7 linked regions of the Coturnix japonica genome follow. The protein of the gene in region 1 interacts with the protein of each later gene in a pairwise test. Links are inferred from orthologs where the notes say so. Each region holds a gene or a part of one and is shown on either strand. Other genes may lie near its edges.

What was found.
Region 2: the proteins of GOLGA2 (region 1) and YJU2 interact in binary tests that used the Homo sapiens proteins (3 or more experiments, as listed by UniProt). The two-hybrid records come from large-scale screens. The link is inferred for Coturnix japonica from reciprocal best matches to the Homo sapiens genes GOLGA2 and YJU2.
Region 3: the proteins of GOLGA2 (region 1) and TRIM29 interact in binary tests that used the Homo sapiens proteins (3 or more experiments, as listed by UniProt). The two-hybrid records come from large-scale screens. The link is inferred for Coturnix japonica from reciprocal best matches to the Homo sapiens genes GOLGA2 and TRIM29.
Region 4: the proteins of GOLGA2 (region 1) and ZBTB16 interact in binary tests that used the Homo sapiens proteins (3 or more experiments, as listed by UniProt). The two-hybrid records come from large-scale screens. The link is inferred for Coturnix japonica from reciprocal best matches to the Homo sapiens genes GOLGA2 and ZBTB16.
Region 5: the proteins of GOLGA2 (region 1) and GEM interact in binary tests that used the Homo sapiens proteins (3 or more experiments, as listed by UniProt). The two-hybrid records come from large-scale screens. The link is inferred for Coturnix japonica from reciprocal best matches to the Homo sapiens genes GOLGA2 and GEM.
Region 6: the proteins of GOLGA2 (region 1) and TSSK3 interact in binary tests that used the Homo sapiens proteins (3 or more experiments, as listed by UniProt). The two-hybrid records come from large-scale screens. The link is inferred for Coturnix japonica from reciprocal best matches to the Homo sapiens genes GOLGA2 and TSSK3.
Region 7: the proteins of GOLGA2 (region 1) and LYPLA1 interact in binary tests that used the Homo sapiens proteins (3 or more experiments, as listed by UniProt). The two-hybrid records come from large-scale screens. The link is inferred for Coturnix japonica from reciprocal best matches to the Homo sapiens genes GOLGA2 and LYPLA1.

The regions. Positions count from the first base shown.
Region 1 is NC_029532.1:3,750,313-3,753,812, forward strand, and holds part of GOLGA2 (golgin subfamily A member 2), read left to right. Parts: intron 1-110; coding exon 111-224; intron 225-532; coding exon 533-757; intron 758-967; coding exon 968-1,067; intron 1,068-1,159; coding exon 1,160-1,248; intron 1,249-1,827; coding exon 1,828-1,981; intron 1,982-2,112; coding exon 2,113-2,180; intron 2,181-2,741; coding exon 2,742-2,844; intron 2,845-3,038; coding exon 3,039-3,145; intron 3,146-3,329; coding exon 3,330-3,498; intron 3,499-3,500. UniProt on the Homo sapiens protein: Peripheral membrane component of the cis-Golgi stack that acts as a membrane skeleton that maintains the structure of the Golgi apparatus, and as a vesicle thether that facilitates vesicle fusion to the Golgi membrane.
Region 2 is NC_029543.1:756,138-760,208, reverse strand, and holds the start of YJU2 (splicing factor YJU2), read left to right. Parts: upstream 1-1,271; 5' UTR 1,272-1,359; coding exon 1,360-1,383; intron 1,384-1,556; coding exon 1,557-1,657; intron 1,658-2,152; coding exon 2,153-2,297; intron 2,298-2,505; coding exon 2,506-2,640; intron 2,641-2,793; coding exon 2,794-2,975; intron 2,976-3,208; coding exon 3,209-3,329; intron 3,330-4,038; coding exon 4,039-4,071.
Region 3 is NC_029539.1:3,276,284-3,280,306, forward strand, and holds the start of TRIM29 (tripartite motif-containing protein 29), read left to right. Parts: upstream 1-1,223; 5' UTR 1,224-1,280; exon of another isoform or gene 1,281-1,360; 5' UTR 1,361-1,534; coding exon 1,535-2,395; intron 2,396-4,023.
Region 4 is NC_029539.1:3,817,701-3,821,200, reverse strand, and holds part of ZBTB16 (zinc finger and BTB domain-containing protein 16), read left to right. Parts: intron 1-3,351; coding exon 3,352-3,500. UniProt on the Homo sapiens protein: Acts as a transcriptional repressor. Transcriptional repression may be mediated through recruitment of histone deacetylases to target promoters. May play a role in myeloid maturation and in the development and/or maintenance of other differentiated tissues.
Region 5 is NC_029517.1:114,174,241-114,178,178, forward strand, and holds the start of GEM (GTP-binding protein GEM), read right to left. Parts: upstream 2,801-3,938; 5' UTR 2,660-2,800; intron 1,247-2,659; 5' UTR 1,237-1,246; coding exon 903-1,236; intron 1-902. UniProt on the Homo sapiens protein: Could be a regulatory protein, possibly participating in receptor-mediated signal transduction at the plasma membrane. Has guanine nucleotide-binding activity but undetectable intrinsic GTPase activity.
Region 6 is NC_029538.1:4,558,886-4,562,327, reverse strand, and holds TSSK3 (testis-specific serine/threonine-protein kinase 3), read right to left. Parts: upstream 2,046-3,442; 5' UTR 2,033-2,045; coding exon of another isoform or gene 1,997-2,032; 5' UTR 1,996-1,996; coding exon of another isoform or gene 1,946-1,995; 5' UTR 1,830-1,945; coding exon of another isoform or gene 1,738-1,829; coding exon 1,593-1,737; intron 1,237-1,592; coding exon 575-1,236; 3' UTR 501-574; downstream 1-500. UniProt on the Homo sapiens protein: Serine/threonine protein kinase required for spermatid development and male fertility.
Region 7 is NC_029517.1:99,796,605-99,800,104, reverse strand, and holds part of LYPLA1 (acyl-protein thioesterase 1), read left to right. Parts: intron 1-184; coding exon 185-286; intron 287-523; coding exon 524-697; intron 698-2,376; coding exon 2,377-2,430; 3' UTR 2,431-3,500. UniProt on the Homo sapiens protein: Acts as an acyl-protein thioesterase. Hydrolyzes fatty acids from S-acylated cysteine residues in proteins such as trimeric G alpha proteins or HRAS.

The sequences.
Region 1 (3,500 bases):
TGGTATCCCACTGTATCAGGAATTAATGTGGTTTACTGATTTAGCTTATGTGAGCAAATACTTATGGTGATTGGGGCAGTTTCCTTCTATGATGCTTTTGATTCTTGCAGACAAATGAAAACATGGAGGTTACAAGTGCCCTGCAGTCAGAGCAACACGTAAAGAAGGAGCTGGCTAAGAAGATTGGGCAGCTGCAGGAGAACCTGGGGGAGCTCAAAGAGACGGTAAGCAACAGCAGAGGGACAGCAGGGCAGGTGTGCAACAGTTTGTGCACAGGAGAGCTGGCAACTTACCAAACTTTGATGGAAAGATGGAAATTGGTATTGTTAATGATCAAGCTGGGAGCCCTCCCGTGTCACCTGCTGTCTGATGCGGGGGACCAGCATGTGGGGACAGATGGTGGCTGCCGGCCTCGGTGGTGGCTTTGGGGCAGCATTGACAGTTTGGATGGTGCCACACGAGTTGTCATCTTTTTCTGGCAGAAATGATTTGATCTGATGGTTGTTTCATGTGTTGTATCATGTGTTGTTAGCTGGAACTGAAAACACAGGAGGCTCGGGCTCTGCAGGAGCAGCGGGATCAGTTCTATGGCCACTTACAGCAGTACACTGTGGCATACCAGCAACTGGCTGCTGAGAAGGAGGAGCTGCAAAAGCAATACTTGCTTCAGACACAGCTAATGGACAGGCTGCAGCATGAGGAAGTTCAGGGGAAGGTGACAGTGGAAATGCACCTGAAGGAACTGCAGCAGACGAAGGTAATAAAAGAGGGGCAAGTGGAAAGACTGGAGGCAAAATGCTTAATTGCACCACATCCTGTGCAATAGAGGTGAATTAGAGACAAGTGATAATTGTGGCTATTTGTGTGCTTGTTTCTGTGGTGCTGTTGCTAGTGACTGTTTTCAGTTTGGTTTGTGCGGGTTTCGGTGAGGAGCTTTTCTCACTGACGTTCTGCTTCTGACTTGCAGGAAAGTCTGGAAGTTGTAGCAAAAGAAAACAAAGAGCTGCAGGCCCAGATCAGTCAGTTAGCAGCAGAGCTGGATGGCAGGATGCTGCACAGACTAGAAGGTGCGTAGCTGCAGCTGCCCTCCAGGGACGGGAGGTGGAACTGGGCTCTGAGGGGTATTTTCACCTCATTGTTCACCTCCCTTCCTTTCCAGGAGATGGAATTGAAAGTGAAGTGATGGCTGAAGAAGTGAAAAACCCTTCGTTTGTGATCCCAGAGAAGTTTGAAAGCCATGAAGAAATGGTGGGTCTCAATGGGTAGAAAAGCCTTTGTTCTCAGTTGTGAACAAATGTCTAGGAGAGGAGGCAGATTGAATTGCAGAGGTTCTGCAGTGTGTATTAAGTTGTTTACCAGCTGTGCTCCCCGCAGTTGAGGCACAGAGAACTGCTACAGTCCCCTTCACACAGCAGCAAAAGAACCAAGAGGATTTCTACAGTATGGTTGAAAAACAAGCTGGAAGTCCAGCAATGGTTAATTACAAAGACAAGCCAGCTGGCAGAGTGGCTCTAACTATTGTGATGATTGATGTTCTCCTCACTTTGGAAGGCAATTAGGAAGTGGTGTTGAACGTCACTAATTTGTTTTTGTAAGCGGAAAATACTGTGATCAAACAGTGGGAATTCAGGTTTCACCTGCAGAGAAGAAACGGTTTGTGCTACTTGACAAGACACGCAGTAGTTGCTGCCTGGGTTGGTCTGACGGGTTTCCTATCCATAAGTAAAATGGGGTTAATTTCTGTTATTCCCCTTACCATGAGATGCACAATTGATCACACTTCACACAGGACAATCACTAACGTGAGTCCTTTGCAATTCACTTCAGGTGACTTTCTTGACGTCTGCCATGTCCCAAGTGGAGAAGGAACGAGAAGAGATGAGGCAACAGTTGGCTGCTCAGAAGCAGCAGTGCAGAAACCTCCTGCAGCAAATAGCAGCTCTTCGGCAGGAGCAGCAGCGTAACATCACACTGAGTGAAGGTAAATCTTGGGTACAGTGTGAGTATGGAGATGTGCCCCAACCTGGCCCTGACCTCTGTGAAACAGTCCTATGGGTTTTGTGAACGAATCATGCTTAAGCAGGCACTGTCAACTACAAATGTCCTTTCCAGATTCCACTATGGGTAGTGTTCCAGTAGAGGTTCATGAGGCTTTAAAAACTGCCATGGAGAAACTACAGGTAAGCAAAGGGTCTCCTCTTTCTGCCCCTCTGCCTCACTTAGCTCAATTTGCACCCAGTGCCAGACTCTTGAATCACACACGTGTTGCAGGGGAATAAGTAGCAGCTGTTCCATGATAATAACCTAATTCCTAAGAAGTGGCTTTCCTCATGACTTGTCTCATCATAGCTGAGCTTCCCCTGCCCTGCCCAAAGACTGTAAGGGCCTAATGCCCATTCCTGGTCTCTTCCTAAAGAAGTAGATGAAAAATAGACAGACTTCACCGTGCTGAGACGAAGCAGATCTCTCCAAGATCTGCAGACTAAGTGTGACCACAGTTGTGCTGGCCCAGCAATGAGAAGGCACTTTGTTCCCTCAGTCCTTCTGCTTCCCAATATGCAGAGATGCTTTGCTCTGCCTTCTGTAGCTCTGTTCCTTTTTACTGCCAAATCAGAGTAGTTGTAAAGGCAGCACAATTTGTTCCCTGGGCTCAGACAGCTGTGAATGGAGGGTGCTGTCTTTAACACGGGTATTCCCATATGTGAGCAGCTGAGGTGACTCACACCAATTTTTGTGTCCAGGCCCGTTTCACAGATCTGATACAGGAGAAAGCTGATCTGAAGGAACGGCTGGAAGAGCTGGAACATCGCTGCATACAGCTGTCTGGGGAAACAGACACCATTGGTACGTTTATACAACACAACACAAACCTGGGCTTTGGGATCTGAGTCTGCCACATGCCGAATGGTTCAAGTCTTGCTACCTAGCTATGCTAGGCTTCCAATCCACAGCTGGATCTTCAGGCAGCATAGGTTTATGCTCACAGTATGGCTTGTACATCAATCTCACTTATTCCTTATGCTTCTCTTGTGTTCCAGGGGAATATATAGCATTATACCAGAGTCAAAGGGCTATCCTTAAACAGCGGCACCAGGAGAAAGAGGAGTACATCAGCAGGCTGGCTCAGGATAAGGAGGAGATGAAGGCAAGGAATCTCTTCTGTAGTACTACAGACACAGCATACACTTATAGGCAGGCCTGGGGGATACCTGCACAATGTAAACCTTCCTTTGTTGTTCTTGAGCTGGCTTTAATTTTGAAGTTTTAACAGTGGCAAAACAGCAAGCTGGATATGCACGCTGCTTAAGTTTTCCTTTGCTTTGGTGCAGGTAAAATTACTGGAACTGCAGGATTTAGTGATGCGTCTGGTCAAGGAAAGAAATGAATGGTACAGCAAGTATGTAGCAGCTGCTCAAAACCCAGAGCTGTTAGCAAGCCAGAATGAAAACGCACTGCCAGTGGAGAGGCGCATTGAACTGAACGCTACAGATGGAGAAGGT
Region 2 (4,071 bases), on another chromosome or scaffold:
ATGGAGCTCCTGTGCTCAGCCCGGGCCCTATTTGCTCCTGGAAGGACAACCCTGCTCCCATCCACCATCATCACTGCACGGGGAGCAGTGGAAGCAGAGCTGTGTGGCCTCAAAGCGAGGACAGGAGTGCTGGGCTGGGGGGCTCGATGAGGACAGAGCACCAGGCCATGGGCTGCTGCCTTTGTGGGGTGCAGTGGGGCCTGTGGGGATAAACTGGGCTCTCCCACCCTGCTGATGAAGCACAGGGTTGGCCCAGGAGCCTCGGAGGTGCTGGAGCCGGCAGGTTCCCATCCTGGGCTCTGCTGGGGAGGGACAGCAGGCTCTCAGGGGTTAGATGACATCACTGCCTTTGAGACAAAGGCACTGAGTCACTCCATCCCCAGGCTGGATTTGGTTCTCAGGCACAGCCGGGGGAGTTTCCAACCTTCAGAGCAAGGGAGGCAGCGAGGGGTGGGATGGGATGGGATGGATGGGATGGGGTGGGATGGGGTGGGATGGGATGCGGATGGGATGGATGGAATGGGATGGGATGGGATGGGATTGGGATGGGATGGGATGGGGATGGGGTGGGATGGGATGGGATGGGTGGGATGGAGTGGGGTGGGATGAGATGAGATGGGATGGGATGGATTTGGGGATGGGATGGGATGGGGTGGGATGGGGTGGGATGGGATGGGATGGAATGGGATGGGATGGGATGGGATGGGATGGGATGGGGTAAACTGAGGCACACAAGCATGGGCAGTACCGGAGGGGCTCCATCTCTGGTCACACACAGCCCATAAATGAACCATCCCGGGACTCTGCCCCCGCCCCACACTTGTGATGTTCTCTGTAAAGCCATACATGCTGTGGGGCGCTGAGCTGGGCCGGCACAGTGTGGGGGCAGCTGGAGGGCAGGGGGGCTTTAATCGGCCCTATAGATCACACGGTCCCTAAGGAGGGCGCTGTGCCCCCCAGCACCTACACTGGGCCCTACATCCCAGACCCCCACGCTGCTGACAGCCTCTGTGCCCCCCCCATGTTCTGACCTGGGCCCCAGGTCCCGGTTCGGTTCCCATTTGGCCCAACCCCCCCATGTCCCGTTTCACCCCCCGCTCCGTCCCGTCCCCTCTCCACCCCGGAACCTTTCTTCAGGCCGCGGCGCAGGGCGGATTCTTAAGCTGTGGCACACTAACATCCGGGAAGTGGGCTGAGCTCTTTGATTGGCGTCAGAATCAACCAATAAAACGAGAGATCATTTCAGGCCGCGTCTCTCTCCACCAATGAGAGGCGGAGGGGGCGGGATTCCTATCCCGGAAGCGGAGGGCGGCGGCGGACAGCTCCGTGTACGCTGTGAGCTGAGAGCGGTGCGCAGCCATGTCGGAACGGAAAGTCTTAAACGTGAGTTGGGGGCTGTGTGGGTGCCCTGGGGGGTCTATGGGGGCCCCACATCGTCCTCAGGGCTCCCGGTGGGCACGGGGCGCTCTGGGGGCTGGGACAGGCCTCGGGGCCCGGCCAGGAGCTGATCGGTGACCGTGTGTCCGTTTGTGCGCCGCTCTATTGTGTCCGTGTAGAAATATTACCCGCCGGATTTCGATCCGGCCAAGATCCCGAAGCTGAAGCTCCCGAAGGATCGACAGTACGTGGTGCGACTCATGGCCCCGTTCAACATGCGGTGAGAGGGGTGGGGGGGTGTTATAGACCCTACATAGAGCTGAGGGATACAGCCAGCAAATGGAAGGGGAGGGGAAGGGAAGGGAGGAGAGGGAAGGGGAGGGGAGGGGAGGGGAGGGAGGAAGAAGAGGGAGGGGAAGGGAAAGGGGAAGGGGAAAGGAAAGGAAAGGAAAGGAAAGGAAAGGAAAGGAAAGGGGAAAGGGAATGGGAGGAAAGGGGAAGGGAAGGGAAAGAAAGGAAAGGAAAGGAAAGGAAAGGAAAGGAAAGGAAAGGAAAGGAAAGGAGAGAAGGAAAGGAAAGGAAAGGAAAGGAAGGGAAAGGGAAAGGAAAGGAAGGGAAAGGGAAAGGAAAGGAGGAAGAGAAGGGAAGGAAGGAGGGAGAGGGAATGGACTGTATGGGTGATAGAGGGGCTGGAGGTTCCACGTATCCAAAGGGGTGAATGTGCTCATGGTCTGTGCTGTCTCTTTTATCTCTTAATGTTGGGCTCCTCCTTTAGCTGCAAGACGTGCGGTGAATACATCTACAAGTGGAAGAAGTTCAATGCCCAGAAGGAGACTATTCAGAATGAGGTGTATCTGGGGCTGCCCATATTCCGCTTCTACGTCAAGTGCACATGGTGTCTGGCAGAGACCACTTTCAAGGTGAAATATTGGCACTGATTTCTCCTCTTCTGCTTCATGGGGAGGTGATGTGGGTCTGAGCTCAGTCTGATGGGGAACACGGCTGTCCCAGCACAGGCTGAGCCCTGAGTCCATCTGGAGCAGAGCAGGAGGCTGCAGGTGTTTGTCTGCCCCACATTGTGACTGGGGTGGAATTGCTCCAAGATTTGCTGCCTTACTTTTCCCTTAGACAGACCCTGAGAACACGGATTACACCATGGAACATGGAGCCACTCGGAATTTCCAAGCTGAGAAGCTCTTGGAGGAAGAGGAGAAGAGGATGCAGAAGGAGAGGGAAGAGGAGGAGCTGAACAACCCCATGAAGGTACTGGAAAATGCTGTTTGCAGAAGGCAAAGCTCTCTCCTCCCCTGTTTGGCTGTACCTGCTCAGCAGGTCGCCTCGTCGCTTCTCCACACTCATGAGGCTGTGCTGGACCTTATTGCCTTGTGTAGACCCAGCTTCCTTCTGGTTCCTTAGGTCCTGGAGAACCGAACCAAGGACTCCAAACTGGAGATGGAAGTTCTGGAGAACCTACAGGAGCTGAAGGAGCTCAACCAGCGCCAGGCAAACGTTGACTTCGAGGCCATGCTGCAGCAGTACAAGGAATACGAGGAGGAGCAGAAACGCAGGGAGCAGGAGGAGGATGAGCAGGAGATGAAGTGAGCGGGCTGGAAGCATTGCCATGGGTGTGAAACCAGCCCTATGGGGAAGGGCTCCATCTTACCATCTGCTCAGCACCCCAATGACTGTGCAGTGAGGGCAGGGCCTGAGGGCTGTGTGTGTGTGGGACATAGACTGGGTCCTGGTGCTGAATTCCAGCAGTGGGGAGCAGCATCCAGCAGGGAGCACAGGGACCATCCCTCACCCCCAGCTCTGCCCTCTGTCCCTGCAGAGCCATGTTGGAGCAGGCCCAGAACCGCCGGCTGCTGTCGGACTCCGACTCAGATGAAGAGCCTGCAAAGCCAGGAACCAAACGTGCGGTGAAATCAAGGCCTACAGATGTCCTGCAGGAGGTGAGCAGGGGGCTGAGGCTCATCCACCCGCTGCTCCTCCTCTGCCGCCCTGGGCTCTGCACTGTTCCTTCTGTCCCTGCTGCCCGTCACGCATGAGCAGCTCAGAAAACGCATCCTGTGCACTGGGCCGAGAGGAGACAGGGATCAATGGGTGATTTCAGTCTGTGGCTGCTGACAAAGGAGGCGGCATCAGCTGCGATGGAGCTTAGGACGAGGCATCCCTTCCCCTTCAGCCTTCCCCAGGTCTCAGTCCCCGCTCAGGTACAATCTGAGCCCTCCAAAGGTGACTGGGAGTGAATCAGCCGCATGGGGCAGCCTCTCCTTTGCTTCCCTTCGGTCCGTGTTAGAGACAGGCAGGACAAAAGAGAGCTTTCAGTGCCTGCCTTGCAAGGGAGGGATTATCCCCACCAACAGGGCCCCCTGCGCTGCTGCTCTGTGATGTCGATCCGTGCCCGCGGGGACCCCTGTCCATTCGGACGAATCAAAGCAGCCATGTTTATAAGCCAGGCTGGGGTTAATCCCAGCTGTGTTCCTCTGCCCTGTGCTGCACTATGGGCACAGGGGAGCTCAGTTTGGCCATAGGACCTGCACAGCCCTGCGGCTCTTCAGCTCCCTTCTTGTGTGCCCGTGTTGTTTTGCAGTGTCCCTTCTCCCTGTGCCCCCCCATCACAACCCCACACCCCCCTAATGCTCCCGCTCTGCCCCACAGGACCCTCAGCCCCAGAGCAAGAAGCTGAAGACT
Region 3 (4,023 bases), on another chromosome or scaffold:
TTACAGCAAAGAAAATAATCTCATACTCAACCAGTGACACCATCCTACCCAGCAAAAATCAAATTAAGTACAAATCAAATACTGGGCAGGGTTAATTTCCAGCCTGCATGTTAATCTCAGAGCAATCTCACTGAAGTTCAGAGTATAATCTATGCTACATTGATGTGAAATGGGTGTAGGGTCCACCTCCTTCTTTTGAACTTGATGGAATTCAGCAGGGCTGATAAAGGGCCTTTTTCTTCTGAAATCTGTCATTCCAGTTGGCTGAATAAAAACCATTATGGGGTGTGGACTTCTCTCTTTCTTTTTTTTTTCCTTTCCCTTAATGAAAGGAGCGTTTCATGAGCTTTGAAATAATTTTGCTGTTTCTCCCTTCCGCTGTGCCCTCTCAATGGGGAAATGGAAAATGAAGGGGAAGCCAGGGAAGAGAAGAAGGAAAACTACCAAAGTTGCTTGATATGACACTTGAATATCTTTCTTTTGGATTGCAATATGGCTAATGGAGGGAGAAAGGCATATGTTTAAAACTCCCTTGCAGTTCTTTCTTCTTGCAAGAAGCATTTTGTCCATCTATCTGCAATATACTTAACCTTTCAGATATGTCTCTCAGTTCAGTGCATGTTTATGGGAGGAACACTTGTGTTGCACTGAGAACATGCAATGAAATGGGCATTGGGTGGGCTCTTCTATTTGTCACATAAGTTGTGTTTGCATGGCCTGCAGGAGAACACAGCTCCTGGCTGACTTATATTTCGGGTCAGCTGTGTTCTGGTTGGAAAACATTGGTTGTTTCCAGCTGTAGATGGATGGATCTGACACAAACCCAACATCATCATCAAAATAAAGATAATAGGGGTCTTTTAAGCCTAGTATTATCCCCGTGTTTCCCCTCCCTGTTCTATTGAATGCAGCAAGCCCTCGGGGGAACCCGGTTTAAGAATGCTTTATTCTAGGCATTCATTTGAATGATGACCATAATTATTTCTGTACATGTGTATGACCCAGTTAACAAACCCATCCTCGGCATCCCATGGTCTCTCTGACCCTGCCCATCTCAGCAAGGAGGTAACCTCAGCTCCTGGCAAACTTATTTTTGAAACAAGCGGTCGAACTGGTTACTGCATCTTAATGAAAATCATTTCTTTCTTTCTTTTTTTTTTCTTCCTGAGCATTTCTATGTATATAAACAGCCCTTCCTCCCAAACCTGGTTAGACAAGAATGTTGCTGGGTGTGGACCGCCTTGTATAATTAACTGCACAGCTGTGGCTTCTGATCCCTGGTAACGTCTGTTCCTTTCTTTCCTTCTTTCTCCCTGCCTCTACCTAGCATTATCCAGAGCTCATCTCCTCCTCCTTGCAGGAGCTCCAGGTGCGTCATTTGGGCAGCAGCTTCCCTGCATTCCCCCGTCATTCCTCATTGGGACGGCCAGCAGACAGGCACACGGCCACAGCTGCTTCCAGGGGTCGGGGGAACAGCACTGGGGGGACAGGACAGAGCCGAGGAGCTAAGAAGCCAACCTGCTTTGGTTTGACGATGGAAACAGGGAGTGCAGCAAGGACAAATGGCACTGCTGGGAAGCCAGAGGATGTGAAGAGTCCGTCCGCCCCCAAGAAGGATGAAGAAGTGAAGAAGACGACGAATCCTAGCGGAGGCGAGAAAGAGCCAATAAAGGGCACTGGAGGTACCTCCCTGGAGACCGGACAAATCAAGAGCTCTCTCTTCTCTGGGAGTGACTGGAAGAGGCCCATCATTCAGTTTGTGGAGTCGTCCGATGAGAAGAGATCGACCTACTTCAGCATGGACTCGACAGACTCTAAGAAGATGCCATTTGCCAGCGGACAGATAGGAGACATGAGGAGAACCCCACTCTCCTTTGCAGACAAGGGCGACCTCAGGAAGTCCCTCTTCAACTTGGATTCCAAAAAGAGCTTCTTGCCTAACGAAGGGGAAGGGAGGAAGCCCTTGTTCTCCAGTGGGCAGATAGGGGACATGAAGAAACCATCCATGCCTCTGGTGGAGACGGGAGACCTGAGAAGACCCACCTTCAACAAGGTGCCTGACAGAGCAGCTGGCTCACGGCCCAGGGTGAAGCTGGAGGATGTGCTGTGCGATTCCTGCATCGATAACAAGCAAAAGGCCGTCAAGTCATGTTTGGTGTGCCAGGCTTCCTTCTGCGAGCTGCATCTCAAGCCTCATCTGGAGGGAGCAGCTTTCCGGGACCATCAGCTCCTCGACCCCATCAGGGACTTCGAAGCAAGAAAATGCCCTGTGCATGGGAAGACCATGGAGCTGTTCTGTCAGACAGACCAGATGTGTATCTGCTACCTCTGCATGTTCCAGGAGCATAAGAACCACAGCACAGTGACGGTGGAGATCGAGAAAGCAGGCAAAGAGGTAACATAACACTTCTCTAATTGCTTTTTTTCCCCCCCTAATTATCTTTCCAATGGAACTCAATGTCACTACAGAGCTTTTTCTCTCTATCCTATGGCCTCTCCTAAAATCATGGCTGCAATATAATCCTGGGATGCAAGGGAGGTGGTTGGGAAGGCATACAGATCAGTACTGCTCAAGGTTGTGGTTACAACAGAAAACTGTGATCTCAGCTCCCCGGTGTGAGCTTCTGCTTTCTTGTTTGTATTTTCTGTTATGGAGATAATGATGTTGAGCCCCACCTGTAGGAAAAGTCTTTTGAAGCTTAGATGATGAAAAATACAACTTAGTGCAAACATAGAGCGATTAATTTTTTCCCTGAAGTGTTACTGCAGTCGTCTCAAAAGATGGACATCTAAAGAGATGGGACTGGCGTGTGAACCAGTGCTCTCTCTAATGAAAGTCTTCCACTTTTGTTTGCCTGAATTCTCACTCAAGTTTGCTTTCTGGGTGGATGCACCATTATCCCACTTGCTCCAGTGAATGTCAGGGTCCCACTACATTCAGTTCTCCTCAGGCTGGAGACCTTGTGGTCTATCCAGACAGGGAAGGAGAGATGACAGAAAGGAGACCCATAAAGCGGTCACATAAAACAATTTGCCTAAAGTTACAGCCAGCCCATGGCAGGAGCTGGAAGGGCACCCAGACCTGCTGGATCCCAGCCTTAATCACAGCCCAAGAGCTCTGATGTGGTGAACAGGCACGTACAAGTACCCACTGTTGGAAATTCTTGAGTTACACGTAATTCAGAAGAACAGTTTACAGTGCTAAGAATGTTTAACTCATAAAGCTGGAGGAACATCTCTTTTTTTAGAGCTTTTCTGTCTCTCCTTGCACAGTTTTTGGTGTTCTCATGCAATGCCATCTTCGCCTTGCAGCCTGACTGGAACCAGACAAAGCTTCTCCCTATATTTAGATGAACCTACACCACCTTGATTGTACGTAGGCAAGCAGAGCTGGGTGGAGGAACCTTCACCTAGGATTTAAATGGTGTTTGATTTCTCTCCCAGAGTGTTCGTGCTGTTCTGGTAAGGTCTGTGCTTGCCCTGTGCTGATTCTGCTGCTGCTAAGCCCACAGGATTTAGGGCTTTATCAATGAATCATACACATGTGCAAGTTTCTCCTGACAAGGAGCCTTGGTCGTGTTGTAACTTGAGGGAGTATTCACTCAGACAAAACCAATTAGCAGGAAAGCTGTTGCTTACAAATGTTTATTCCTAGCCCTGAACTATTCTCCATTGGTGGAGCCTTAGCAAGAACCACAGGGAGGGACGAGCGCTGCCAGGTCCCTTGTGTGCATCACCTCTTCTTTTCAAGTCTTGCAAATTGACTGAGCTGGAAGACGACCACAAATTGGTGGAGTGGCAAAGCCTTTCTTTATGGAAAGAGTGAGCAAAAAACCCCACAGTGGGGGAACCCCAACCCCATCGCTGCTGCTGTGGCATCACTTGGCACTCAGCAGGGTAGCTGTAATGCAATAAGGTGTATTATACTCATGTTCTTTCCATACTGCAGAATTAATGCAGTTTACAGCCCCTTCCATGAGGCTGATACAGGCCTGTAGGGAGGAAAGCTGCTGTATTGTGCTG
Region 4 (3,500 bases), on another chromosome or scaffold:
GCAGGAGAGCTTGGGACTGGCAGCTTGGTGGTACCCAGCAGCTGATGGTGAGCTATGGAGAGAGCTGGAGGAGCTTTCTTTGCTTCCAGGAGGGCTGGGATAAGGTTGTTCCTTGCTAAACTGAACTTTTATTCTTCTCTTTTATTTAATCTTAATAATATTGAGGCAACTGTCATCCACAACTGAGGTTGCTTGGGTTTAAAAAGAAGAAGAAAACAAGGTGGGGGTGGGGGGGAAAGCACTGTGTGTGTAATAAGTTGATCCGGTATAATGTGACATGTGACCTTCTTAGGGGATGTGCCATCTTACCCCACTTCATCGGCTTAAATGCAGTAGATGCACATAATCAGCTGGTACTCGGCTCTAATGGGATTACAGTGACCTGGGCTACGTGTATATGGTATTTACACTGCACGCCCACCAAGGTGCTTTTAGGTTAAATGAGAGCTGGGGTATGAAACCAAGGATTTGACCGTGTTACTCGGTGTCCTTAAACCACCTGCCTGATGGTGGCCCTGTCCTGCTGTGCTTTGCTCCTGCTGTGTGTCTCCATGTGATAACTGCTGTGGGACTGCAGTGTAGGGAGAAGCAGTTCTTAGAGCATAAGACTGCCTCATATTGTGCCAGGGAAGGTTCAGGTTGGATGTTAGGAAACATTTCTTCTCCAAGAGAGTGCTTGGGCACCATCATAGTTGTCTGTTGAGGTGGTGGGGTCACCATCCCTGGAGGGAGCATGGAGATGTGGCACTGAGAAATACAGTGGGGTGGGATGGGGTTGGGGATCTCAGTGTTCTTTTCCAACCTTAATGATTCTCTGGCTGATCATATGTAGGAAAGAGGTGTGAGTGCATCCCATCCAAAACAGAAAGTGAAAGTTCCCTAGTAGATTTAGTACCTGAATATGGTGTGTTTGGAATAACCGAGCAACACTGTAGGACTTTCCTCCTGCTTTTCTTTTTGCTATGGGAAAATGGCCCTTCAAGCTTCTGATGAGGGATGGCCTCCTGCAGTCCCCATGTGCTTCTGTCCTCAGGAAGGAGCTGCTTCTCCCCTTGTTCATGGCAATGAGGTTGGATCTGGAGCCTCGCAGCACCCAACACGTGCAGCAGCGTGGCAAGCCTGGGGAGCTGACCCTCGCCCAGCTCAGTGATTAGCAGGATTGTGCTGCTCCACGCAGCAGAAAGCTGGCCTGTAATTTGCAGCCCAGCTATGAATCAGAGTGACTGAAATTGCTTTTTGCAGCGGTGGGGAGGCGGGGATGGTTTGCAGGTGGGTGGAGGGAAATGCTCCTCTCCCATCTTTTCCCACACCAGTTGTGAGGCTCGTGCTCCAGCAGCACTGTGATTGCTGGGGGGAGGCAGATGCAGATTGTTTGCATCTCTTTTTCTTCCTCTTTTTAACCAGTTTCCTGTACACACATGAGCTGGGGCAGCATCACAGAAGGTCTGCATCACCAGTGCCTGTTGGTCCTGCATCCATACTCCCAACCAGGAAACCCAGAATCACACAGTGCTTACGATCCCATTAATGCTGGGTGGAGCAGCTATTCATAGCAAGTAATCCAGTGACCTGGGCTGCAGGCCACTCTGTGTGGGTTCTGCCCCCAGCCCCTGATGGTTTATTAGCTCTTGGCTTTAAAAATAAACCAGGATCCCTCGGAGCTTTATGAGTAGTTAGTTGTGCTCCGTGGTTATTCTTGGAGTGGAAGCACAATGCTGAGTCCACAGAGAGCTCATGATGTGGTGCTCAGCTCTCTGCTGTCCTTGCCTGGCAGCATCCCAGAGCTGGGAGAGCACAGCAGGAATAGGAGGGTCTTTCTTCATTATAGAGAGGATAAAGGCTGCAGCCCTTGGAGGTATCCCAGCCCCTCTTTCTGCTGAGCAGGTCAGAGTATGAAAAAGGAGGGGATGCTGGTGTTGTACAGAAGGGTTTCAATGGGGCTTCTCTGCTGCTTATTTATAATCCAAACCCTTGCACTGATTTCCTCAGTGCCAGTGGATCCATTGCTCTGCCTCTATGGCACAGGGCACCAGGTAGCAGTGCAGAAGCGGGGTCACAGGTGCTGGAGGGGATCTAATTAGTCCCCTTTGTCCTGAATTTAATGCTAGGCTCATTAAGGGTTCTGCAAAGTTAATCAGCGTGCCACAAATTGGATTTTAATTTTTTTCCCCCCTGGTTCTGCAACCAGAGCAGTGCTGCTGTGGGGATGTGGGTCCCATTAGTGTCCCCGCATTGGCGCTGTGTGTGTATGGAGGGTGTGGGTCTGGCCCTCGAGATGCCGTGTTTAAACTCATTTACCACATGATCAGGTTGATAATTAAATTCATGCGGATCCTGTCAAACCAGCTCCGGAGTTTAACACTTCACTTAAAGTACCAGGGTGCTGTAAAGAAGCAGCAGGAGGAAAAAAAATCACTATTCCCATGGGTGGCTGAGGCTAAACGAAAGAATCCTTCACCTGGCTCCCATCTCCAGGTGTTCCCATAACTATTGAGCAAATGGGAGTGATGAAATGGGCAGCTGGATGTTACTTGATAGGGTGGTTCTGGTTGGAAGGCATCATCCAGTTCCACGGGTCCATTTGGTTTTAGGAACGAGGAGTCCAATGGAAAATAGAAACAAACCTGCAGCCCGCACAGGGCAGTGTGATTAAAGATGTGCATGTTGGTTTGGGGGGTGTGTAATGGGGGGGTGTTTGCACCCTGTGGGATCGTTGCTGGTTTGCAGCTGTTGGGAAACAATGCCGTGCACGGAGCAGCAGGGCTGGGGGGAGAACAGGCAGAGAGTAAAATATCATTGCAAAGAGGAAGTGAAAGCACAGGCATGTGAGTATATAACTAGAAGGACAATTTATGCCCAGGCACGAGTGCAGTTTGACATGGGGATAATGAAAAAACGTAGGTCATTGTGGATGACTTAAGCCTTCACAGCTGAAGAAAATGTATGAAATGCGAGGAACATTACACGCTTGGCAGCTCTGCACATCTGCAGTAGGACAAGTGAAATACAGTTGGCCATTCTTTACCATAAACTGTGGTTGTAGGATATGCAGCACAGAGAAATTGTAATTACAGTGACAAGACAAATCAGTAATATTTAAATATTCATGAACAAAGTCTTGGACGATCAATCTATCTTTATTGTCCTTGCCTTCACTGCCGTAATAAATAAGTAGCTGGAGCTCTCACCTTTCATTCAAATGATTCTGAGTTTGGTGCTGAGCCCAAGTTCATTTATCAGGGTGCTGAGCAGCGCTGCGGGGCTGATGCAGGCAGAGGGCTCTGAGTGTGCAGCACTGAGCTCCTGCAGCCCCACATGCCTGCCATGGGGCTGACCCATATGTGCTTGCAGGTGACCACCCCTATGAATGCGAGTTCTGTGGCAGCTGCTTCCGAGATGAGAGCACGTTGAAGGGCCACAAACGCATCCACACCGGGGAGAAGCCCTATGAGTGCAACGGCTGCGGCAAGAAGTTCAGCCTGAAGCACCAGCTGGAGACC
Region 5 (3,938 bases), on another chromosome or scaffold:
AAATCCTGGCTTAAGAACCAAAAAACCTGTCCTGCCTATGCTCCACCAAAGGCTGGAAAAAAAAAGCTCAGAAACTCTCCGTGCTGTCATGGGCATCAGCACAAGCGGAACAGATAGAGGAGAGAAATGCTCTGTGTGTTGAATAGCAAAACCAGCCAGCAACTTGCACGTGTTACCAAGATGACAGCACCTGTGTCCTTAGGACCACAGCAGGCTTCTATCACTGCATGTCCCTTCTTCCACAGCACCTTGCTCACACCCTCATGGCTGGGTGCCACAGCCTCACCTTCTGCAATGACTAGTCTTTGGGACTAAGGAAGGTTTCAAAATCCTCACTAACACGGGAACATGAAATGAGGGGTAGATATATTTTGCTCAGACTCCCTACAGCCTATGCTGACACAACATATTCATATGTAAGGCTGAGATAACATATAATGGCAAATGTTTTGGAGAATTGGATAGGGCTTTTTATTTTTCATTGCATATTATTTCTGAGCATTACATTCTTGTGGACCACAAGGAAAGGTCCTTGTTTTCCTCTGCCCTATAGAAAGCTGGAAATAGCCCTTTGGAGCCTGTGGTGACACAAGAATAGGACCAGAATGAATACTGAATGGCAGCTTCCAACAAATTCTTTGAAATAAAAAAGCATGAGAATCTGTATTGTTCCTTTTCAGATGCTTTGAGTTGTTATTAGAGAGTACCATCCTCGTTGTAGCTTACTTTGCTTATTCTTGTTTTCTTAAGAGAGATGCATGTGTTGGAATTGCTTTTGACAATCAGATCCAGATGTTTGCTAGGTCAATTTTACATTAATTGACCTTTCTGATTTTCCACGTCAATTTCTGCTGCCATGGCTGGTGGTGAGCAAACACAGACCCCAGAGCATGGTGACCTACCTCCCAGCACCTCGCAGTCGCTGTCAATGCTGTCGTGTACCCCTGCAAAGATGTTGGCCAGCGACGATTTGCCCACACCTTGTTCCCCAATCAGCACCACTCTGTAGCAGTTGCTGCAGGACTCAGAGGAGATGACAGAGTCAGATGACTCCGAGGACCAGCTCCTTCTGTAGTATTCATCAGGACTGATGGTGTATCGCTTCTGCACATTGTACTCATTGGAGTCCTTCTGGACCAACAGGTTCTTCCCATCAGCAGGAATGCTCCATCGCTGCTGCTGCTGCTGCAGGCTGCTGTGGTGGGTGCGACGCATGGTAACGTTGTTGAGGGTCATTTTTTTACCCCTGGTGAGAAATGTGGAAGCCATACACTTTATTCTCAAAATACTTACAAACACACCATCTCAAGGCATCAGGTCCTGCTCTTCTATGGGGATACAGTATGCAACAACAACAACAAAAAAGGAGACTCCACACTTTTGCAGTTGCTAGTACTAGTATGCAAAGAAATATTTCTAGCTTGTGAGTCAGAGGCTTTTTCCTGGGGATGATGCCACCCCCATACACTAATCCTCTCTGTCTTTAGCCTGTACATGTTTCCTGTAGTGCTAAGTGTATGGGCAGGGAAGCACTCAGCAGAGCTCACATATGGCTGCATCCCCATCAAGAGATGGGCAGCACCTGCAGGCAACGCTCCCTGCCCTCCTGCCTCCTGGGGCAAGCAGAGGGACCCATCCCTCATACCTCAAACTCACAATCTTACACAGCTCCCATAGGAGAGGAAAGCCATGCAAGCAAGCACATGTCTTTGGGTCTCATCTATGTCGGGATAAGCTTAAAACAGTGGCTTTCTGGCTGCTAGCAGGGACACAACCAAGTCCAATGACTTTTCAGAGGAGGTATATGTTCAAGCCATTACAGAAGGTGGCACTGGCAGAAAAAGATCATAAGTTTACAAATACTAAATCAGAAACTTCATCTGTTTCACAATTAGCTAATAGGTTAGCTCTTCCAACCTTAGCATGGCCCCTAATTACACTTAAATTAGCAAACTCAGTTTTGAGCGGGTTGGCGGCAGAGCACAGTGATGTCATTCTCACGGGCCACCAGCTACCATTTTTAGGAATGTTACTTCTGTGGCTATTTGGACATTTTGCTTTTTGGAGTATATCTGAATTTTATCAGCTCTGTTCTCCATGTCAGTAGGCAGGAGAGCTGCCCATGAAATGAACTTTCAAACTTGAATAACAAGCGGTGAATGAAAACAAGCACAGCAACACATGAAAACAACATGTTCGGATCACTACTCCTTTTCACACAAAGCTATCTGAAAACTTCTTAGAATGAACATAGATCAGGCTGGAGAATAAGCAGACCAAAACCACTTTCTATCTGATCTTATTACAGCACTCACAGTACTTACTCTGTGACACGCAGTGCTTAGTGGCAAAACTAGATTCTGACAAGAAACTAGGCATCAAGCAAAGCCTGCTTCACAAAGTCAGATAGGAACCGCAGTTTGATTTACCATGCATTACTTTCTTTCAGTTTCCCCAGTGAAAAGACCAGATGAGAAAAAGCAATTCCAATTCAGTCAGATATCAGAGCCCAAACAAATGATGACCATCAATAAACAATCACGTCGCAGTCCAAGCCCAGGTTTGATGGCATGCACTGCACTCAGCTGTGTGGGTCTACAAAGCCACAACAAACCCCACAGACACAGGACCCAATGCACAGTGGCCAGAGATTCCTTACTTGTATGTGACCGTCCACGCTGTCAGCTCCGGATTCGCGCTGCCTTCCGCTCCGTGGGCTGTGTTACACTGAGCTGCTCTGCCAGAGTAAATCCCCTCCCGCTTACGGGCTGCCTCTTTAATTCCTTCTCAGCGAACCTGGTTTATATTAAGCCCATCTGATCGGAGACAGGGCTTTTCCGTGACGTGGTTGGCCTTTCCATCCAACAGCCAACCCCCAACTGGGAGGAAGCAGACATGCAGAAAAGCAAAAACTTACAAACAGCCTCAAAAGACTTACTTGAAATCATATGATTGTCTTGGTGTTGCCAGTAAAACAAACACATTTGGGGCTGACATGAGGAAAACAGGCAAGTGGAAAAATTAAAAAAAAACATGTCCTTCCATCTTGCTCAGTTCTGCATTCAAACGCCAGCAGGATTAATGGTGTTTTTAAAACTACGTGTTTCATTAATGAATATAATGCAGTAAATGTGTGATGTTCTCTGTCTGCAAAATGCAGTTAACTCCCCACTGGACAAGATGTTTTTTTGTGGAATAAAAGATCTGAATATCATTTTAGAATTATCTCACAAGCATGAATATTATTCTGTTGTTGTTTTGTTTTTTTTGTTTTGTTTTGGTTTGGTTTATTTGTCTTTTAAAGAGATCCAAAACATACAATCCTACTTTTTCCATCACCTTCCAAGGCTCTACCAGCCATCTCCCACCCCTGCTGCAGCACTCCTCCTGCAAGGGCTCAACAGAACGGCTGCCCACAGACTGAGTGCTGCTCCAGCTGGACGCCAGCAAAGACGGATGTGAATTACAGAGCACAGAGCCCGGGCGACACGGTGCAGATTCTGTCTGCAGTTTATTAGGAGAGATGGCTATACAGTGTATGCACCACAAAGCATGTGCCTGCTCCTCAAATGGTGCCATTTCTAACAGCCTGTGTGGAAATCACAATTAACAGAGCAAAGAAATAAACCTCCACAAAATACTTGGTAGGGATACCATCAGTTATACAGAAGTCTACAGCAAACTCCCACTATTTTTCCTTCTTTTTCCAAACCTGTGACTGCCCTTCCCCTGGCAGCTGAGCTTTAGCACCAGCGCTGTGCAGGGTGGAACATCCCTTCCCTTGGTACTGCCTGGCACTCATGTCACAGACTTCTGCATTTTTGTGTCTCACATAAGCCTTGTACAGAACATTTCCTCTGATAATGCAGCCCTTTATGAAACTCTTCCACTGAGATATGCCTGATTTCTCTCCCCTTCAGCTTTGTTGCACTTCTGCA
Region 6 (3,442 bases), on another chromosome or scaffold:
GCACTGCGCTCCCTGGGCTCAGGGTGACCCAGGCTGGATGTGGAGCTCTGGGCCGCGCTGCTCTCATGTCTCCTGTTTTTCTTTAGTCCCACTGACCGTCTGGTTGTCTGTGCAATATTCTCTGTTTATTCCGGAGCCTTTTGTAGCTGGGGTGGAAAACCAGGAACAATTCTAACATCTGTAGTTTTGTAACTTTCTCCAAACCTTTTACAGACTTGCAGTTAACAGCAATTAAAGGAATTCCGCACTCACCACTGTGTCCTCCTTCCTTTTCCCCTGCCCTGGGCTGGGGGCAGCTGCCTCAAGGGGATCAACTGCTTTATGTTTCTGCTTTCCTCCCCCTCATCCCAAGGGAAGTTTGCCTACAGGGGGTGGGAACATGGGGCTGCTTGGTCTGTTCTGTTCCCTGCTGAAGGCCGGGGGTTGGGAGGGGGCAGGTAAAAATGGCCTAAAGTGAAGCAGCCCTCAGCTCTGCCTTGGCAGCACACGTGAGGCCGAACACGTGGGAAACACATCCAAATTTATTGGCATCCTCGAAGCAATCTGTCCCCGGGGGGGAGCAGCCGAGCGCTCCTCAGGGTCCGGCCAACCAGGGGTGTCTGCTGAGCCGCTCCACCGACGGCCGCAGCACCATGTCTGGCTCCAGGAGCCTCTTCAGGAGGTCCTGGCACGGCCTGGAGACCTCCAGGTGCCTGGGCAGGGAGACGCCTTTCTGCTGCTGGCACAGCATCTGCGGGATGTTGGTGTCGTCGAAGGGCAGGTGGGCGCACAGCAGGACGTAGAGGATGACGCCCAGGCTCCAGATGTCGCCCTTGCAGCTGTCGTGGGGCACCCCCTGCAGCACCTCGGGGGCCGCGTAGGCCACGCTGCCGCAGAAGGTTCTGCTCAGCTCTCGGCTGCCCACGGGGAGCTGCTTGGCGAAGCTGAAGTCCGTCAGCTTCACGGTGTGTCCCTGCAGCAGCGCGTTCTCGCATTTGAGGTCGCGATGAGCCACCCCGCAGCCGTGGCAGTAGCGCAGCGCCTCCACCAGCTGGCAGAACAGCTCCCTGGCGCAGGGCTCGGGCAGGGGACCCCTGTGTGCCACGTAGTCGAAGATGTCCCCGTTCTCGGCCAGCTCCATCACGAGGCAGATATTCCCCTCCGCCGACTCCAGCACCTCGTACACGTGGATGATGTTCTTGTGGTCCAGGCGCTCGATGATTTGGAGCTCCCGGGGCAGGAACTTCTGAATGAACTCTGCCAAGAGGGGGAAAATTCACTCAGTTCCTGAGCTGCTGAGCCCCGGCATCGCACCGGGCTGCGGCCACAAAGTGGGAAGGAAGAAGGGTTGTGCCAGGGTGCCTGGCTCCAAGCAGGGCCCTTGTCGGAGGGGTCTGAGCTGTGCTGCTTTTGGCCACCTTATGGCTGGAGGAGCCGGATGGACACCCCATGGCCTGGCTGCTCCGAGCTGCCCCCAGCACCTCCCTGCCCCCAGCACCTCCCTGCCCTTCCTGCTCTTGGGTGGAAAGTTTGGGAAACTCATTTTCTGCCTGGAACTAAAAGCTTCCAAGGAGGGGTCGGTACCTGGGAGCTCTTCAGGGGCAACTTCTTACCTTCTGGACTCGCCCTTTTATCAATGATTTTAATTGCTACTTTCTTCTGGTGCTTTTGGGAAAAGGCCTCCTTCACCTTGGAGTACGTTCCCTCCCCAATGGTTTGGCCGAGCTGGTATCCGCTGGCGAGCAAAAACTCCTCCATGTCCTCTCACAAATCGGGGCCGTTCAATCTCAGTTTTACCCCCAGCAACTCGACAACAGCATCGCAGCAGCCAGGGGCTCCCCGTGCTCCCTGTTGGCACGTGTAGAGCCACCAGGCCCTGCTCCTGCCCTGGTGGGAAGGGGCATCGAGGCGCCTGTTGTAGCATGGGCGTGTTATTGTGATGCAGCCGATGCTGCATGAATCCCAGATGACGGAGGTGCATCAAAGTGGGCGACAGCTCGGCCAGGCAGGGGGGAATTGGGCTGTGCTGGGCAGGACCTGCTCGGTGGGCACCGTGAGTACAGGGGGGTCACAGGGTCCATTCTGTTCCTCTCCCGTTTTCATCGGGGTGTGGCGGGGGGGCTTTAGGAGCTGCTGCTCACACAACACTTTGCTGCTGCAGGGAGGGGACCCCAGGCTGCGCCCATGAGCTCAGAGCTGTGCTCACACCGACCCACCGCGGCCTCACGTCTGAGCTGAGTGTGTCCAGCTGCTCCGGCGCCTGCAGCCCAACCAGGCCGGGCTCCTTCACAGCAGGAAGGTGCCGGTGCCGGGATCGCAGCCAGGCCCCGCTGCAGCTCCCAGCTGCTTCTCCCTGTGCAGAGAAAACCGGGCCGGGCCATGAGCTCCCAGGAAGCGCCGCGGGCCCGGAGGTTCCCCATCGAGGCGGGCGACTGTTGTAGTGCGGCCGCAGCTTTGGAGACACAGCAACGGGTGGGCACAGCGTGGACTGCGGGCAGGTGAGGGTCCAAAGGGGCTCCTGTGATGCTGCAGGTTGTGCTGTACTGTGCTGTACTGTACTGTGCTGTACTGTGCTGTGCTGTACTGTGCTGTACTGTACTGTACTATGCCGTACTGTGCCGTGCTGTGCCGTCCCTCTGACCCCTGTCTCCCCGCAGGCAGTTGCGGCGCTGTCCCGCCAACCACCGCCTGACGCTGCCGCACATCCCCATCAACGTGTTCATCGCCATGGGAGGGAACTGCCGGCCCCGCAGCACCTGAGCGGCCCGTGATGTTTATGCACTTTGTAAAGAAAGGCCCATCCTAACGCGATCCCCGCCTGCTGCTCCTTGTGTGTCCGGCCGTGCGGCCCAACGCGTCCCGTGGGCTCCCGGGGCCGCCGCTCCCGGCTCAGCTCGGCCCGGGACGGAGCTCGGGGCTGGGGGGTGCAATGGGGGGGGTCGTGTCGGCGCGTGGGCACGTGGCGGGACACGAGGATCCACGCGGGACCCGCGGCCGCGAGTTGAAGCCCGGCCCCGCCCCGTGACCCCGTTCGGGGCGTTGCTCTCCGCTCTCGTCCCGCCGCGGTCCCTCTCGGCCGCCGTCCGCCGCTCCCCGCCCTCCCGCTGCCGCCGCCATATTGTGGCCGCCGCCGGAACGTCCGTGTCGGGATCCGCGATGGGTGAGAGCGGCGGGACCGGGCGGGGCGGGATCGGTACGGTACGAGACGGCGGGGCTGCGGCCGTGTCCGCACTTGGCGCTGCCGGGCGCTCGGTTGGCGGCACTGACTCAGCCCGGGGCCGGCAGCCCCAGCGCGGCCGTTGGGCTCCGGGGCGGCGGCGGCCGGAGCTGCGGGAACCGCGTGTCGGTTGTGTCCGTGTGTCTGTCGGTGTCTATCCGTGTGTGTCCGTGTGTGTCCGTGTGTGTCCGTGTGTGTCTGTGTCTGTCCGTGTCCGTCGCTCTTTGGGCCGTCCCGCGGTTCCGC
Region 7 (3,500 bases), on another chromosome or scaffold:
ATCACATGGGCTTGGAGGGGAAAAAAATGCACAATAAGTACATATAATACTGCTTTTAGTATTGATTCTAAGGAAGAATGAATTGGAATATAAGAAGTTCTTTAAAAGAGAAACCAAAGATCCTGAAACAAATGTTAGAAGTGACATTACCTTCACTATTCTAATACTGATCTGTTTATTTTAGGGTGGTGCTTTATCATTGTATACAGCCCTTACAACACATCAGAAGTTAGCAGGTGTTGTAGCCCTCAGCTGTTGGCTTCCTCTACGGACTTCTTTTGTTCAGGTATTTATTTATTCTTTCTGAAGCAGTTTTGCTGAGGCAAAATGAGTGTATCTGAATGCTGTATCTTCAGACTGCAGCTGGATAACTCAGTCATTCTCAGAGTAGGGCACTGGGGGTTTAAATTCTGGCAAGAAGGGGAATTGAAGAAGTACTCAGTGGTTACATCTGCTTAACATGGTATTCATATGATATCTCACCCCACTTATTTCCTCCTTCTTCTCTTCCCACCCTGGACAGGGTGCTGTTGGTGTCAACAAGGAGATTCCTGTACTTCAGTGCCATGGGGACTGTGACCCACTTGTTCCTTTAATGTTTGGTTCTCTTACTGTTGAGAAGCTAAAGACTATGATAAATCCAGCCAATATAACCTTCAAAACTTACTCTGGCATGATGCATAGTTCATGTATTGAGGTAATTTTCTTAATATAAATGTTTTAGCTAAGTATGATTTTACTTTTTCCTAACAATTACAGGGCATTTTAATTTAATTGTATTTTTTTCTATTAAAAGTTTGTGATGCCACTGACTTATTTTACTGTTTAACTCAATGCCTGTCTGAAAAAACATCCAAGGGAAAAGTTCATATGACCAGTGGGAAATTCCTCAGAGGAATGTATTTTTGGGGCTGGGATGGCTGAGCTATAAAACAATCTTATTTCTAATTTGTTTTCCTAACCTGTGTTAATCACATTAATAATTATTGAATTAGAAGGCAGATAGAATTCTCGCAGTGCCAATGCAACTTGGTATTTCAAGGAGAATTTTGCATGGTTTTGAATGGAGACATCAGAAAAATGTGGAAGGAGGGCTGATATTAGGGAAGTGGCAGCCTCAAAACATGCTTTTATGGCTCTGGATCAGCAAACAGTTGAGTTGATTTAATAATTCAAATGTGTAAATATGTGCTCCTTCTTATAACACTTAGTACTATGTGAGTAAAGAGTGAAATCTTTATCAGTGACATCAATGATGTAATCGATTGCACCCTCAGCAAGTTTGCTGATGACACCAAGCTGAGTGGTGCGGTTGATACGGAGGGAGGAAGGGATGCCATTCAGAGGGACCTTGACAGACTTGAAAGGTGGGCCTGGGTGAACCTAATGAGGTTCAACACGGCAAAGTGCAAAGTTTTGCACTTGGGCCGGAAGAACCCCAGGCACCTGTACAGACTGTGAGGAGTGGTTCTTGAGAGCAGCTCGGCAGAGAAGGGCCTGGGGGTCCTGGTGGACAAGAAACTTAACATGAGCCAGCAGTGCACTCCTGCAGCATGGAAGGCAAATGTTATCCTGAGCAGCATCAGGAGAGGGGTGGCCAGCAGGGACAGGGAAGTGATTGTCCCTTTTTACTCTGCTCTTGTGAGGCCCCATCTGGAGTACTGTGTCCAGGTATGGAACCCTCAGTACAAGAAAGACATGGAGCTGTTGGGAAGGGTCCAGAGGAGGGCCACAAAGATGATCAGGGGGCTGGAGCACCTCTCCTATGAAGACAGGCTGAGGGAGCTGGGCTTGTTCAGCATGAAGAAGGCTGCGGGGTGACCTCATTGCAGCCTTTCAGTACCTTAAGGGAACCTACACCCAGGACGGGAGTCAACTCTTCGAAAGGGCTGATAATAGCAGGGCAAGGGGACATGGATTTAAGTTGAAAGAGGATAGATTTAGGTTGGATGTTAGGGGGAAGTTCTTTACTAGGAGAGTGGTTAGGCCCTGGAACAGGCTGCCCAGGGAGGTTGTGGATGCCCCGTCCTTGGAGGTGTTCAAGGCCAGGTTGGACGGGGCCCTGGGCAACCTGATCTAGTAAAGGTGTATGTTTGGTGGCCCTGCCAGGCAGGGGGGTTGGAACTACATGATCCTTGAGGTCCCTTCCAACCCGGGTCATTCTGTGATTCTGTAAAGATACATTTAGTGCCTTGAAGAGTTAGCAGTGTTGACTTGCTGTGATTAAAACATGCAAATGTGATTAAAACATGTCAAATAACTAATTAAACATTCAACAGCCCAGCTGCTCACAATAATTGAAATTTTGAAACATTATGTGTAGTAAATGTGTATTAACAAAGAACTTGACTCATACGTACCTTTATCTTTGAACAGGAAATGATGGATATAAAGCAGTTCATAGACAAACATCTACCCCCTGTGGACTGAAATGATATGTGAGAAGCCTTCTACGTAAACACCAGCATCAACTGTGGTAGAGTTAGTCTTTTCACATGCCTGATAAGAAAGCATTACTTCTGTACCTGCAGTGTTACTACTGTGTTGCAAATCAATACTTAAGGAGTAAATTTTACACGTATGCAAGAAATGATAATCTTTCTAGTGTTGATCACCCACTGATGGAATTGAAAAATGATGCAGCTAGGTAACAGTGATGGAATGTAACCTGAATGTAACTATTTTAAGACTTCTGAATGCAGAATTTTGAACTATTTGTACAATCAAAGACTAAACTTACGTGAGCAACATAAATGTGACCAGTTTAGTATACTTGAGACATGATTTGTTCTTAGTACTCGTTGGAAATAAATTAAAACATTTCGTGTATGTAATGGATGTATGAAGTACACAACATGTAACAAAGTGAGCATATGATTGTAGAATAAATGTTACTGAGGACAAAGCTTTAAATGTTAAGCATTAATTGTTGCTCCAAATAGGAAGGGCTTTTCTTCTAGGACGACTATTACAGTCAATAGAAAGATTTCCTGTATTTAAAACGCCTCAGTTTTAAATGTTTTCATACAGGTAGATACCGTAGAAATTATAAAGGTACTCATTCCTCGTTAGACCATCGTTTGTTGCTGTGCTGCTGCCATTTGTTTTAGATCACTATAAATTGATGCCAAATGAAATGCTGACTCGAACAGAATTCTGAAGAAGCGCGTAGGAATAATTTGAATTTTGTTTAAAATTTCTATTTTCATATTGAATATTCACTCTATACTTTAAAGATGTAGCTTTCATTCATGTAGAAATGTCGATGATGTATTTTACATGAGCTATTCCACTCCTGCTGTGGAGTAACTAAATGAAAGCGGTGCAGCTGTGTAGTTTGTAGTTTTGTGTATTGCTGAAGTCTCATCTGTAACACATTCTTACCACCCACTACTTTCTTTACTTTATACTGACACTTGAGATTTGTCTGGGAAAGAACACAATGTTATTTTCAATTGTATGATTTTACATTTCTCTGGATTCTTGTAGCTTAAAAATAT